Linked DNA regions of Schizosaccharomyces pombe. The gene in region 3 interacts genetically with the main gene of each other region. Each region holds a gene or a part of one and is shown on either strand. Other genes may lie near its edges.

What was found. Genes that interact genetically often act in the same process or in processes that back each other up.
Region 1: mutations in ucp6 (region 3) and tol1 together harm fitness less than expected from each alone (positive genetic interaction), as found in Schizosaccharomyces pombe (one large-scale study listed by BioGRID).
Region 2: mutations in ucp6 (region 3) and bcp1 together harm fitness less than expected from each alone (positive genetic interaction), as found in Schizosaccharomyces pombe (one large-scale study listed by BioGRID).

The regions. Positions count from the first base shown.
Region 1 is NC_003421.2:1,547,839-1,551,897, reverse strand, and holds tol1 (3'(2'),5'-bisphosphate nucleotidase/inositol-1,4-bisphosphate 1-phosphatase), read right to left. Parts: upstream 1,995-4,059; 5' UTR 1,895-1,994; coding exon 833-1,894; 3' UTR 501-832; downstream 1-500. Other genes in the region: zinc finger C3HC-type containing RNA export factor Rsm1, read right to left, coding at 1-204; meiotic recombination protein Rec7, read left to right, coding at 2,829-2,981, 3,039-3,152, 3,258-4,010. UniProt on the Schizosaccharomyces pombe protein: Phosphatase that converts adenosine 3'-phosphate 5'-phosphosulfate (PAPS) to adenosine 5'-phosphosulfate (APS) and 3'(2')-phosphoadenosine 5'-phosphate (PAP) to AMP. May regulate the flux of sulfur in the sulfur-activation pathway by converting PAPS to APS.
Region 2 is NC_003423.3:283,103-286,634, reverse strand, and holds bcp1 (thioredoxin peroxidase), read left to right. Parts: upstream 1-1,818; 5' UTR 1,819-2,109; coding exon 2,110-2,697; 3' UTR 2,698-3,032; downstream 3,033-3,532. Other genes in the region: SPOM_SPBC1773.03C (aminotransferase), read left to right, coding at 1-596; csc3 (WD repeat-containing protein), read right to left, coding at 3,087-3,532. UniProt on the Schizosaccharomyces pombe protein: Thiol-specific peroxidase that catalyzes the reduction of hydrogen peroxide and organic hydroperoxides to water and alcohols, respectively.
Region 3 is NC_003424.3:2,844,158-2,849,173, reverse strand, and holds ucp6 (UBA domain protein Ucp6), read right to left. Parts: upstream 3,206-5,016; 5' UTR 2,640-3,205; coding exon 801-2,639; 3' UTR 550-800; downstream 1-549. Other genes in the region: Spo12 family nuclear protein, read left to right, coding at 1-245.

The sequences.
Region 1 (4,059 bases), on a different chromosome or scaffold from region 3:
TATCTCACCAATTTGAGGATCGTTTACATAAGCCCACCGACTTCTATAAGTCAACAATCGTCTCAAAAACTCTTCTCTGCTCCAGGGCTTATATGTGCATTTAGAAGCTTTTAGAGACTTTAAAAGAATATCTTCATTTCTTTCGTCAATTTTGTCTAACTGATCCAAAATTTCATTTGTCTCCATATCGGTAGGAAATGACATTATCACCCGTTCTAAGAGTTAAAAAATTATATTTCTTTTCGAAAAATGTGGTGTCTCAAATATTATCATAGAAAACTTTTATTACATGCCTTTTCCAAACGTTTTCAGCAGGAATCAAGGTAGCGCAAGTCAAAGTACTTAGGAAGGATCTCAAAATACCAATTTGGATCATGAGCTCAATATTCGTTTCATCAAAATTGTTAAAAAGTTTTACCGTTTTAAGAAAACATGTCCATGTTATTAGCCAAACCACACTTGAAGGCATAAATTCCTTGAAATTGATCAACACCACCGTATAGTAAATTTACGAGAATACTAAAAGTAAAATAGTAAGGTAATATGGAAAATAACTATACAATTAACCTATTCATACTGACCTGTGTAACTATACCTGAACAATTAAACATTGCTACTATATAATCCATAATTTAAGGTAAATAAAATATGTCATCCATAAAGACATATAACATGTTGTTAATTGTTTTGATCTAATTAAAAGGAGCTAATCATAAGCTTATGGCAAGTAAATATTTTCAAGATTACATTTTTTGTAGAATCCTCGATAACGCATATGCTAACATGCTGAAAAATCTAAATAAAGCCCTAAAGCTAGAATATTTCGGACAGATTATTGGGCGACCTTTTGAAAGTGAGGGTCTTTAGATGTTACAGCTGCAGTAGCTTCAATTACCTTTTCAAAAATACCTTTGTAGGCGGCTATAACACCGTTATTGTTCTTAAGAGTTCTTCCTACACCAAAGTCCAAAGGTTTGCCAAACATATCAGAAACAACACCACCAGCCTCTTCAACAAGAAGAGAACCACCAGCATGATCCCAAATTTTTTCTTCAAATGTCATTTTGGTTGGTAAACGAAGGTAGATGTCACCATCACCACGAGCAAGACTAGCGTATTTGGCTTGAGAATCCATCTTGGTAGGTCCACGAGTAATCCCTAAGTACTTTGCAATTTCTTCTTGAGTTCCTTGCATTGAATGACCAGCCTCTACTCCTTCGCAAAATTTTGAATCCTTGGTGTTTTGAACATCTTGCATGTGCACTTGAACTGGTTCTAATTTTTCGTTATGGAGAGAATACTGGAAGCAACCATGGTTACGAACAGCGGACATTATGATACCTTTGGGACTTGTCTCGGGCTGATTAAAGTCATATGGAAGATTAGGGCATCCAATGGCACTTACCACAGGTTTTCCATTCTCAATCAAAGCTAAACAAATAGCATACTGGGCACCACGTAGAAATCCTTTAGTTCCATCAATGGGATCCAAAGTCCACATACGACCATTGCGACCACCGTGATATGATCCTTGGTCAATAATGCTCATCATTTCTTCAGCTGACTTGATTTGACCAAGCTCTTTGTATTCAGTAGCATGTTGGATAGTTTCTTGAACTAATTCCCAAACACGAGAGCAGGTTTGGGTGTTTTCTCTCAAAAAGTCGGAATCCTCTTCGCCAACAATTGGATCATTGGGAAATGCATCTTTTAACATAGAGATTACGATAGCTTGAGCACCAAAATCGCCAATAGTCACAGGTGATTTATCATCTTTAGTAAGTGCCCCAGCAGCACTCTTCTCCTTGATAAGTTGATTAAACACTTTTTCGGTCAAATAGCTAGCTCTGCGCACAGCAGCAATAGCTAATTGTTTTTCGGCATCAAAGCTCATGGTAAATAATTTTCTAATGTTATTTATTAATGGAGGTATGATTTTAGCACCAAATTTCCTGTTAACACGGAGTTTGGAAATTTTTGTAAACCTGGGCAGTGGAAGTGCGAAGAATATGAAATCAGCATATACGGTGTTTAATTGACGTTTCCACATTTAACCAAAAATATTGTTCAAATAGAAGAAAGAACTAAAAAATTGTTATGAAACGAGAAAGAGTTTCATTTTTTCTGACTAAAAGACCTTTTTTTTTTGTAAAATCGCAGGTTATGCTAACTTTTATTAAACAATAATGATTATGTAGTTTCTATTGTGAAAAGAGCATGTTAATATTTTAAAACAGGTTTCTCCATGTCCACATTTTAGGTTTTCATTAATTATACAAACGACACTACTAAAGTCTGGGTATTGGCAAAGCAGTTCGCCAACCCTTCCAACCTATGGAGAAAGGATGAAATATAATATTAAGGAAAAAAAATATCATTCTGATGGAAAAAACGCATAATTTAAAAGCAGTGCAAGTCCGTATCTTGCGTTTCCCTTTAACAGGCAAATATGCCTAAAATTTTTATATAAGTGTAGATACCAAGGATGAAATGAAGGCATAAAAATATTTTAAAGGGATTGATTAGTAAAAGAAGAAACTGCTCATAAAATTTCCTTTCTCTCAAAATACTGTTGTTTGAAGAGACTTGAGAAATTAATGAACAATCAGATATTCCTCAATACAGATTGAAGAAATAGTTTCCTTATGGCAAATTACAATCATATGTAATATATTGTGATAACAAGACTTACATTCCATAAAGTCTAGTCGTTTTCAGGTCAACTCATAAATGTAAACAAAAGTAATACACCGTGACGGAACGTACTGCGTTATCAGATAAATGAGGTTCAGTCTAACGCGTCTTCTCATATTCAAACATAAACAAACATGAACATTTTCCCAATTGTTAAGTACTCTGTAGCTGAGGATTCGTATACTACAGATTCCTCCCATATCAACTGGTCACATTATTCAGATGGAGGTTTTACACTCTCATTAACGTCTGGATTGCTTCAAATTCGTCAACACGAAGAATTAATTGTACGCGACATGAAACCATATTGCTAGAAAAATTCAATATTTTTAACAAACAAACAGCAAAGTATAAACTTGTTAGATCTCTGGCACCAATTGATACCGGGAACGAAGGAAAAATGTCTAACTCTGCTTTCACGCGCTCCGTGTATGAATATTCGTGCTTTCACTAATAATGTAAGTAAAACAAAAGCAGATTTATTCAAAATCACATTGAGGCCTCTTTTTTTAAAAAAAAAAATGGAGTGTTGATGAAGCGTATTTTGTTGTTAATAAATTTAGGTGATGAAAAGATTTCAAGTGAAATTCCCATCTGACGTGCATTATATGAAAGCCAAAGTTGAATTTGAGAAGCTAGGCCTGGTGTTCAAAGATGCAAAGTCTTCCTCTGAGAAGAAGCAATTCAATAACTCCCAAAGTCAATCTAATAACTCACAGGAACTTTCGTTGATGAACAATGCATATAACAAGTCATCGGCGCAACAGCCAAATCTTTTATTACAACCGAGTTATATCCCCATGACCCAAACAGCAACAACTGCTGTGAACAATAGCACAAACTATGTCAATCCAGCACCACTGCAGCATGTCATGCCAAATGCTGAAATCTTCTCCAATACACCACCGCTTAAGCGATTCCGCGGGGATGCGGGCATGACCCAAATGCCCCTTCGAAGTGATACATCAATTGAAAGTATTACTGCGTCACAACAACCCACTTGGGATGAAAACGTGGTGATAACTTCATCACCTTTTAATCCCAATCGTAATGCCTACTCTTACGGTGCAAACTCACAATACCCCATTATTGCTGCTACGCCGCTGAACTCTCAGACACAGGCTTCGTGGGTTGCTCAACCGGAGAACCAAGCATACGCAAATTTGATTCCATCACCCCCAACGACTTCACAAATCCTACCAACAGAACTTACTGAAGAGGAAAAGCAATTACGCTCCAAGGTATTATTCTATCTAAAACAAGACAGCTTCATCCAATTATGTCAAAGTTTGGAACGGGTATGGAACAAGATGTAGGAAGACAGACCAATTCAACTTAATCCCAAATTTAAAAAAGTAGTAAAAA
Region 2 (3,532 bases), on a different chromosome or scaffold from region 3:
TTGGCCGTACGGGAACAATGCATGCATGGGAGCAAGAGGGTGTGACACCTGACATTCAATCTATTGCCAAATGTTTAGGAGGTGGTTATCAACCCATTTCTGGAGCGCTTGTTGGTCATCGTATTATGAACGTGTTTGAGCAAAAAGATGCTGCCATGGCTGGTTTTTTTACATATCAAGCCCACCCAATTGCTTGTTCTGCTGCCCTGGCGGTGCAAACTATTTTAAGACGAGATCATCTTGTTGAAAGGGCAGCAGAAATGGGTAAATACCTTTCGGAAAAATTACATGAGACTTTTGACTCTCATCCCAACGTGGGAAATATTCGAGGCCGCGGTTTGTTTTGGGGACTCGAGATCGTTAAAGACAAAGCTACCAAGGAATGTTTCCCTCCTGAATACAAAGTTGGTTCTCTCGCCAACAAAATAGGTTGCGAGCATGGTGTTTTCGTTTATCCAGGCATGGGTACAATTGATGGCACCAGAGGAGACCACGTATTGCTGGCTCCTCCGTATATTATCACTCGCGAGCAAATAGATGAACTAGTGGAGGCTCTTAGCAAAACCATTACATCTACAGTTGCGGCCCTTCCTTGAATGTACGCAAGTTAACGAAATTCCTCTTTATCAGTTATAATGTTTCAGATAATTTGGATATACTTATGTTAGAAGACCTTTGGTCATGGTATAATAATTAATTTTATATGAAATGAATTTACAATGCATTAATATACTTTCTCCGCTACGACCCTTCGTTGTAATAAAATTGATAATTCCATACGGCTATAGGGTAGACGATGGCTCGCAATCATTTGAAAACATGTTCTCTGCGTAAACGCGTTTCTATATAGTTTGAATCAACAAACGTAAAAAACAAAAAAAAACTTGGACAAGCCAGAACTCGAATCTGGGACCTCTTCCATGCTAAGGAAGCGTGATAACCATCTACACCACATGCCCATTTTATTATACATTACACATTTATAGTATATTACAAGCATAGTAGGCAGTATACCATAATTTCAACTATTTAATGTATAATAAATAGACACATTATTAGCCAAACAGTTTGGATTGTTTTTGGGTTATTTTCATAATGTAGAACCAGTTGCTAATACTTCGATACAAGTTTAATTTTAAAGTAATATATGTCTATTATTTTACCTCTTCATCCAAGCATCGATGGTGTAGCGGTAACATCAATGCCTTCCAAGCATTAGCTCCGGGTTCGACTCCCGGTCGATGCAATGTTTTTAGCCTTTTTATAAAAAAAATGCAATGTTAGTTTAATAAAGACGATAGCCTCGCTTGCTAACATCATGTTTTATAGTCTTGGCTTACTTCCTTAGAATCTTTACTACGATTGCTACATTGACATTGCATGCAAATCAGTTCCTAGCTGATGGATCCGTTCTACAATTGACGAACAAAAGATATTTGAAATTTGTTAATAAATTAATTGTTATTTTATTTATATTTCTGTAACGCTGTCGAGACGGACAATCAGAGAAAATGCTGTTACAGTTTACGAAAGACCATTTTTTAAAGCCATACTAGTAAAAACGACACCATGTTAATAATGATTTGACTAGAAATTTTATGAAAGAAAACATTCTTTAGTCATAGTAGGATGCAAAGCTATTCCGATTGTATAAGCAGGGGAAGATCGGTTCCCTATCGATCGTTTGAAAGGTCAGCTAAATACGCTAAATACGATTTTACGGGATCACATTGGTAATGTTGTAAAGTAATATCAAAGCGAAGCTAACAAATTGGTAATATTTATGTCGTGATTCTTCACTACCTGTACTTTCTTCCTACACCAGAAAGAAAATCTCAGGTGTTATTGTAAAATTGTTTTTATTTTGGTACCGAAATTCTGAAAGTTGAGTAGTAAAAAGTTCAGAGTACTTCATCCTGAACAGAGTTTCACTACTTTGATCATTTTATCTAGCCTTTACAAGTTAAAGCGATTTAATACTGATCAGCATTGACACCAACGTTTTTGGTTTTACAGGTGTTGTTTAGAATATAAATTTATATACTGCAGCTCTGCATCAACCTTTCTCCTTCCCCTCTAGCATTTTTCTTGCACACTTTAAGCCTGTCAATGGACGCCCCCAGAAGATCTAGCAGATTGGCAGCCAAGATTGCAAACGTCTTGGATAGCAAAGGAACGATTATTCCTGAAGCTGCTCCAGTAATGCTGAAAAAGCCTGCAAAAGATGAATCAGTTGATTCAACTATTCAAGTGGGAGACGTAATTCCCGATATCACTTTGCCTGACGAAGATGGAACTTCCATTCGACTTCGCGATATTACTGCAAATAAAGGGCTTGTAATTTTTGCCTACCCAAAAGCTAGTACTCCTGGCTGCACGAAACAAGGTTGTGGTTTTCGTGATAACTATCCTAAGATACAGGCCTCTGATTATGAAGTTTTAGGGTTGTCTTTCGATACTAGCAAAGCTCAAAAAGCTTTCAAGGATAAGCAAAACTTTCCTTATCATTTGCTTTCGGATCCTAAAGGTGAGCTAATTAAAAAGTTAGGCGCTGAGAAGCCTGGTGGTGGAAAGCTGTTTAGAAGCCATTGGATCTTTGAGAAAGGTACTGGCAAATGCATAGTGAAGGAAATTGACATATCACCTCTTGTCAGTGTTGACAAAGCCTTTGCTGTAATCACTGATTCTGAACCTTAGTTGACAAATTGTCTACGCTCATTGTCAAATTTGGAGGATAGTCTACATGCCTATTGCTATATGATTCATGATGAAATTACACTTTTTTATGTCTTGCTACAATGTGCTTCAACCCTGAAGATACATTCAAATATGATCACTACACAATTTTATACAAGTTGATGGTCCAAGTTAGTGTTGTTCTTATTTTAGTAACGTTGAGATTAGATTAAATAGTTGCCGTATATCTAATACAAATATAGCTCCAGCAACGGTGTAGATTTTTGGTTCATTACGGTTAGAAATCGTAAATCATTATTTTTTAACAAATAACTCATTTTGATTAGAAAAGTTGGAAGTTTCATAAAAAGAGGGAAATCTTCCTGTATTCGTTTATCTTTGTTAGTGCTTTATGGTAAATATTTGCGGTCGTAAACAGAAATTCGCTCTTTACAGCCCACAATCAAATGCTCCAACTTATCGACGGGTGAGTTGATCCAAAGAATATCTGATAAATCAGTAATTTCCTCTTGAGCTTCTCTGCTAGGTAAGCTTTCGAGAGTTGAAAGTTTATCGTCCTGCCTCAAGAAAAAGACTCTTCCATCAGATGCACTAATCGCGAATTCCGGACGATTTACAGCAAACGCAATACCAGTCAAAGAGACTTTGCTAATCGATTTCTCTGCAAGCAATTCCTCACTCTTTACATCGAACACTCGCACCATGCCATTTTCATGCAGAGAATATAAGCGATCAGGGTTACCATTTTTCCATACGATCTTGTTGATCCTGTCTTTAACAGCCGGATTACCAATAGCAGAATTTCCAGCAATGCGCATTTGGCTTACAAGAATTT
Region 3 (5,016 bases):
CTAAGTCGAGTGTTGAAACCACAATTCAGCCATTGCATCAGGAAAGTGCAACACTCCGTCAACAGGTGTTGCAGAAGCATGAACTTCCTAAGCATGCATTGAATGTTGCTAGTCCTACTGATAGTTTAATGAGTCCCTGTACTGCGAAATTACAAGCCCATAAGAAGAAGTACTACATGAAAAGAAAACCACCTGTAATGTCTTTGCAAAATACACTACAAAGCGTCCAGACAGAAAAAGAATAGAAACGAAGAGATTCCAGATGGCCATTGTGTATTTTGCTGTTCTTCTTATAACCAAATCTTGATGAAGTGTTTCATGCTCCAATAATATCATACACTTCTTGCAATTTTTATCTGACTCAAATATTTGTTTTGTTTTTTCTTTCTTTGGTTTACTTGGGTTTAATAATATTACAATAACCTTCCTGCTTACATTTGAATTTCTATGTCTGCTACTTACCGACCCCTTTATGTTAATATATATCTGGCACATTGTTTGGTCTTTATGCTTTTGCGATATTTTGGTTTTATCACAAAGATTATCATTCACTACTTGACTTCATTTCATTTATTTTATTTTATTTTCGCATAACATTAACTATAATTCTACACATGCATCTAAATAGACATTAATATATTTAGTTATTTTTGACAAAATTTTTGAATGTGATTCCATCAAACAGACAACGAATAATACAAGGAAACGAGTTACATTAGAGAAAGGAAATCATAAAAGCATTGGTATAAATTTTTGCGAACAAAACAGCCGAAAAATGCTGTCATGTAATGATCGTCCTTTTAACCGCTATGTTCCACATGCATACTTTCCGGAAATTCGCAAGCACTGTTTCGGGATCGGTGACATTGTACATCTGTATTGATATGGGGCACAGTTAACTGTAAGCCCCCTTGATCCTCAAGGTCGTATTCGGAAACATCGCTGCTGCGGCTGCTCCTTGTGCTTACAGTCGGTGAATGAATTATACCTGCTAACTCATCATCAAAATATTCATTGTCTTCTGCAATAAAATTTTTGACAGAAGTGGGTATGACAGTACGAGTAGAAGCTTCGCAGTCATCATCAACGTATATCAAAAGACGGTTATGGTAGGATATATGTTTCTCAAACTCTAAATCAACTTCTTCAAAAGTAACAGGTTCTACAATGCATGGCGGACTATCCTGGGATATCGTTGCGCTTGTGGTGAAGCGAACTAAGTACCATTGTTCGTTATGATTAGCAGACGGCGAAACATTTCGATTTGACTGAACTGCACTGTTTTTGAGACAAATGTATATTATCGATGGTTCGATAATAACGGCAAGGAGGCGTCGCGTACATTTATTTTGCATACCTCGATATAAAGTGGAGAGTTTATGCTGAGTAGCATTTGTATTTGATATAAGTGTGCTAATTTTGGTTTGTAAGGTCTCTTTTAACAGCTGTAAATGACTAGACAACGCAGGATTTCTTTTTTCAAGAAATTGCTGTCCATCAGTCAAGAGTTCACCAATGTCTTTATCAGTAAGTGTAACGCCAGTCAAACGCTTATACAAATCCTCCCACTCTAATAAAGTTTTGCGGTAAACAGTCTCTAATTGGTATCTTCGTAACATCTCATCACGATTTTCTATGATACATTTACTTAAATCAATCTTTGGTGTTAGCAAGAATCGAGGTGTACCGGATGCATTATTTCCTGGAAGTGAACAGCAAAAGACTTTTCCAACATGTTTTATCCAACTCCAATTTTTTTGAGCTGAAGAAGGAGGATGAAGCAATAAATCCAAGCAAGATTCTATACTCAAACGTAAGTCGGGAGTTGAATTGGGCTTAAAGTTAAAAATGTATGTGGGTTTTTCGGAATTTGTCAAAGATGAGAGAGTGCTACAAAATGTAGAATCAAATTCAGCATTAGGAGGAGAAAAATATGAAGATAGAAAAGCTGCAATACAGTCACCATCGGACATTGATGTATTGGTATTACCAAGTCCGGCTAAAACTTGAGATAGTGCAGCGGTAATATGTACAGTATCCAAGTAAAGGCGATGACTGGAGAAGAGAAACTCAAAGGCACGAATTGTTTGCACTTGCATAACAGATCTAGGATCTAAAGACTGAGAAATGCAAGAGTCTTCTCCATACCACCATCCGGGGGAAGCCAGTCGATGGTTTGAATGATGGTTGTATTTGGAAAGAGAGGAGGAAGATAAATGCGCAGAAACATCTGTAAACGGTCTGTGAAAAGAAGCGTTGTCTTCTGCAAATAGTAAACCTTTACAAGTTGCGTGCACAAACGTGTTGAGGGCAACGGGTATCTCAAAAACAACAAAAAGGAAGGGAGCAATTGCAGGAAACAAAGCGCTGGGTTTTAGAACTGTTCCAATGCGCCCAGGTAACCTTCTACGCTTGCGAGGGGAAGGAAGAAAGAATGTATCTTGGTAGCTTGGTAATGAAGAAGCAATAGATGTGCTAGACATAATGGGAACGAGTCGGCTCTTTTCTAACTGACCACTGAAAATGAATTCCGCAGCACTTTCAACATCATAACCACAGCGTTCTAAAGAATCCTTGGCATCGGATTCCGAAACGCCCATATTTTTTAACGTTTTGATCTTAGTATCTAAGTCTTCCATAATTAAAACGCGAAAATTTGACTGTTCGGATAATATCCAACACGTAGAATACGATTTTTCTAAAGGCTAAATAACAATAAAACAAGGATAATATATCTATAAAATATATGGTGTTTGGAAGGAAATGATGGATCGGTTTATGGTAAACAGTGATCCAATGATAAAGAAAGAGAAAAAAAAATTAATCAAGGACTATGATTTAAATATGGCCAAAAAAACGAGACAACAACAACGATGTTAGAATTCAAGACTAATAAATTTGACACTACCGACTCCTGTTCCAACCCCAGCTATAAAAGTCACTTGCAGCAAATGAGAGTAGGCACAGGGAAGAGAAAATCTGAAATGTGAAGAGTAAACCAAATTTGCATACGCCTTCAAAAAGCAAGATAATCCAGTTTAGCCGAAAAAGGCTAGTTTACTAATTCTCTCTTTGTTAACGATAATTGCAGCGAACCTCAATTCCTTACTTTCTTTTTCTTGCATGAACTCCTTTATACAGAAGATAATGCTAAAAAAACTTGGAAACACTCCAAAGGAAGAATTCGTTGAAGACGTTGGGTAATGGAATCGATTCTTGACGCCGCACGCACTAATAGGTCATGAAGGTAATGGAAGGTAACAATCTGTTGTTACCTGATCGCAAAGCTTATGAAAAAGATAAAAAATGTATAGCAAATTGCTTGCAAAACGTTTTCTAAGGGTCACTAAGGTTTTCTTTAATATAAGTCAAGTATGCTATTGTATCCAAATTTTTTTGTCGTTTTACGGACATGAAGACATATTAAGTTACATCGCTTTTGATAAATGAAATTGAACAAATGGCGCTGTCACCTTTTGATATTAGACAAAGGTGAGGGAGAGCTCGTTTTAAATTTTTTTTAAGTCCACAACTAATGCTTCCAAGAATCGAGCAGTATTCGGTAAACAATAGGATGGTAAAATAAACAACAGGGATTGCTTATGGTAACGCAAGCATCATCGCATGTTTCCGCTTACAAAGGTTTCTTTCACTCTATACATTAAATCAACAATAATATTTTTTTAATACTGTGTATTCAGAGAAAAAGAAAACTTATGGAAATCAAAAGAATGATCGTTTAGATAGATTCTATGTAGAGTAGCATGTTTTTTTGTTCATGAAGTTAAGATTATATTGCGTTAAGCGTATTATTATATGAAAAGGTCACGGATTTTTATGGTTTTATATATTAAAACAGACGTGTTCAAGAACGGTTGAAATAGTACAATAAGTTTTGTTTCTTAAACGGTTCAACATGATTTTTTACTTCTTATTCGTTTAAGGACTGATATACAATTTGTCTGATCTACATATATACATTTGCGTAGTGCAAAGAAGCGACTGGCATCATACCTTAATGAACTCCATTAGCAAAAGCAGTTTTGCCTGGGATACGAATCGAAAGTAAGCGAAAACTCTTTTTTATGTTCCTTGATTGTGTATTCGCTTCATTCATGTATGATTGCAATAATGGTATTGAAACTTCTACACGCAAAAAAATATAACGTATAGTCATATTAAATTTAGTAAATTGTTTTGTGTTGCATCAGGAAAATAAAACGGTTGCTTTGCTAAATATGTAATACGTTTTGATAATATATTCCTTTGCTAATACAGAGAATTGGTTTTTTAAAAATTTGGTTACCTACTGTTTGCCGCTTTTTACTATTTTTGACTGTTCGTTTTAACACATCTTTCCTTTAATAACTTATCATTTTAGGACGTTTAGTTGTAACAAGTTAAACTAAAAGAATCGACTTAACAATAGCTCTTGTAGCTCAGTGGTAGAGCGCTTGCCTAGTAAGCAAGAGGCCCAGTGTTCGAGTCACTGCTGGAGCAATGCTTTTTTATCGACTTATTTTACACTTCGTACTAAGTTATGAAGTGTTCACTTTCGTAACCTAGTTTATCTTTCCGTTAGAACACCGTTAAGTTTCTTGCGATCTTCTATTTTCGTTATGTAAGGTAGTATGAACAGTTCAATTGTAGTTCATCCAAAGGAATATGCTATTATAAATTATGATTGAAATATCTGAAAGGAAGAAGGGAAACCAATTGGGTACCTTTTATAATTTGTAATTAGTTATCTTTCGGCTCGCAAATCCATTATCAACATCATCTCTTAGTTACAGTGAATAGGTAAATTTATAACGTGCGATGTAGTGATGCAGTACAGTGTAGTCTGCTATTGCTAACAGTTATTAGATTTTAGGATATTCATATGCCGTTTGCAACAAACATATGACAAGCAATATTAAATCATAGAATGGAGCTGGTACGACAAATTAAGCTAAGTAAGCAACGATTAGTTAACATTTCTCTTTCTACAACATTATTTATTACATCTGTACTTCT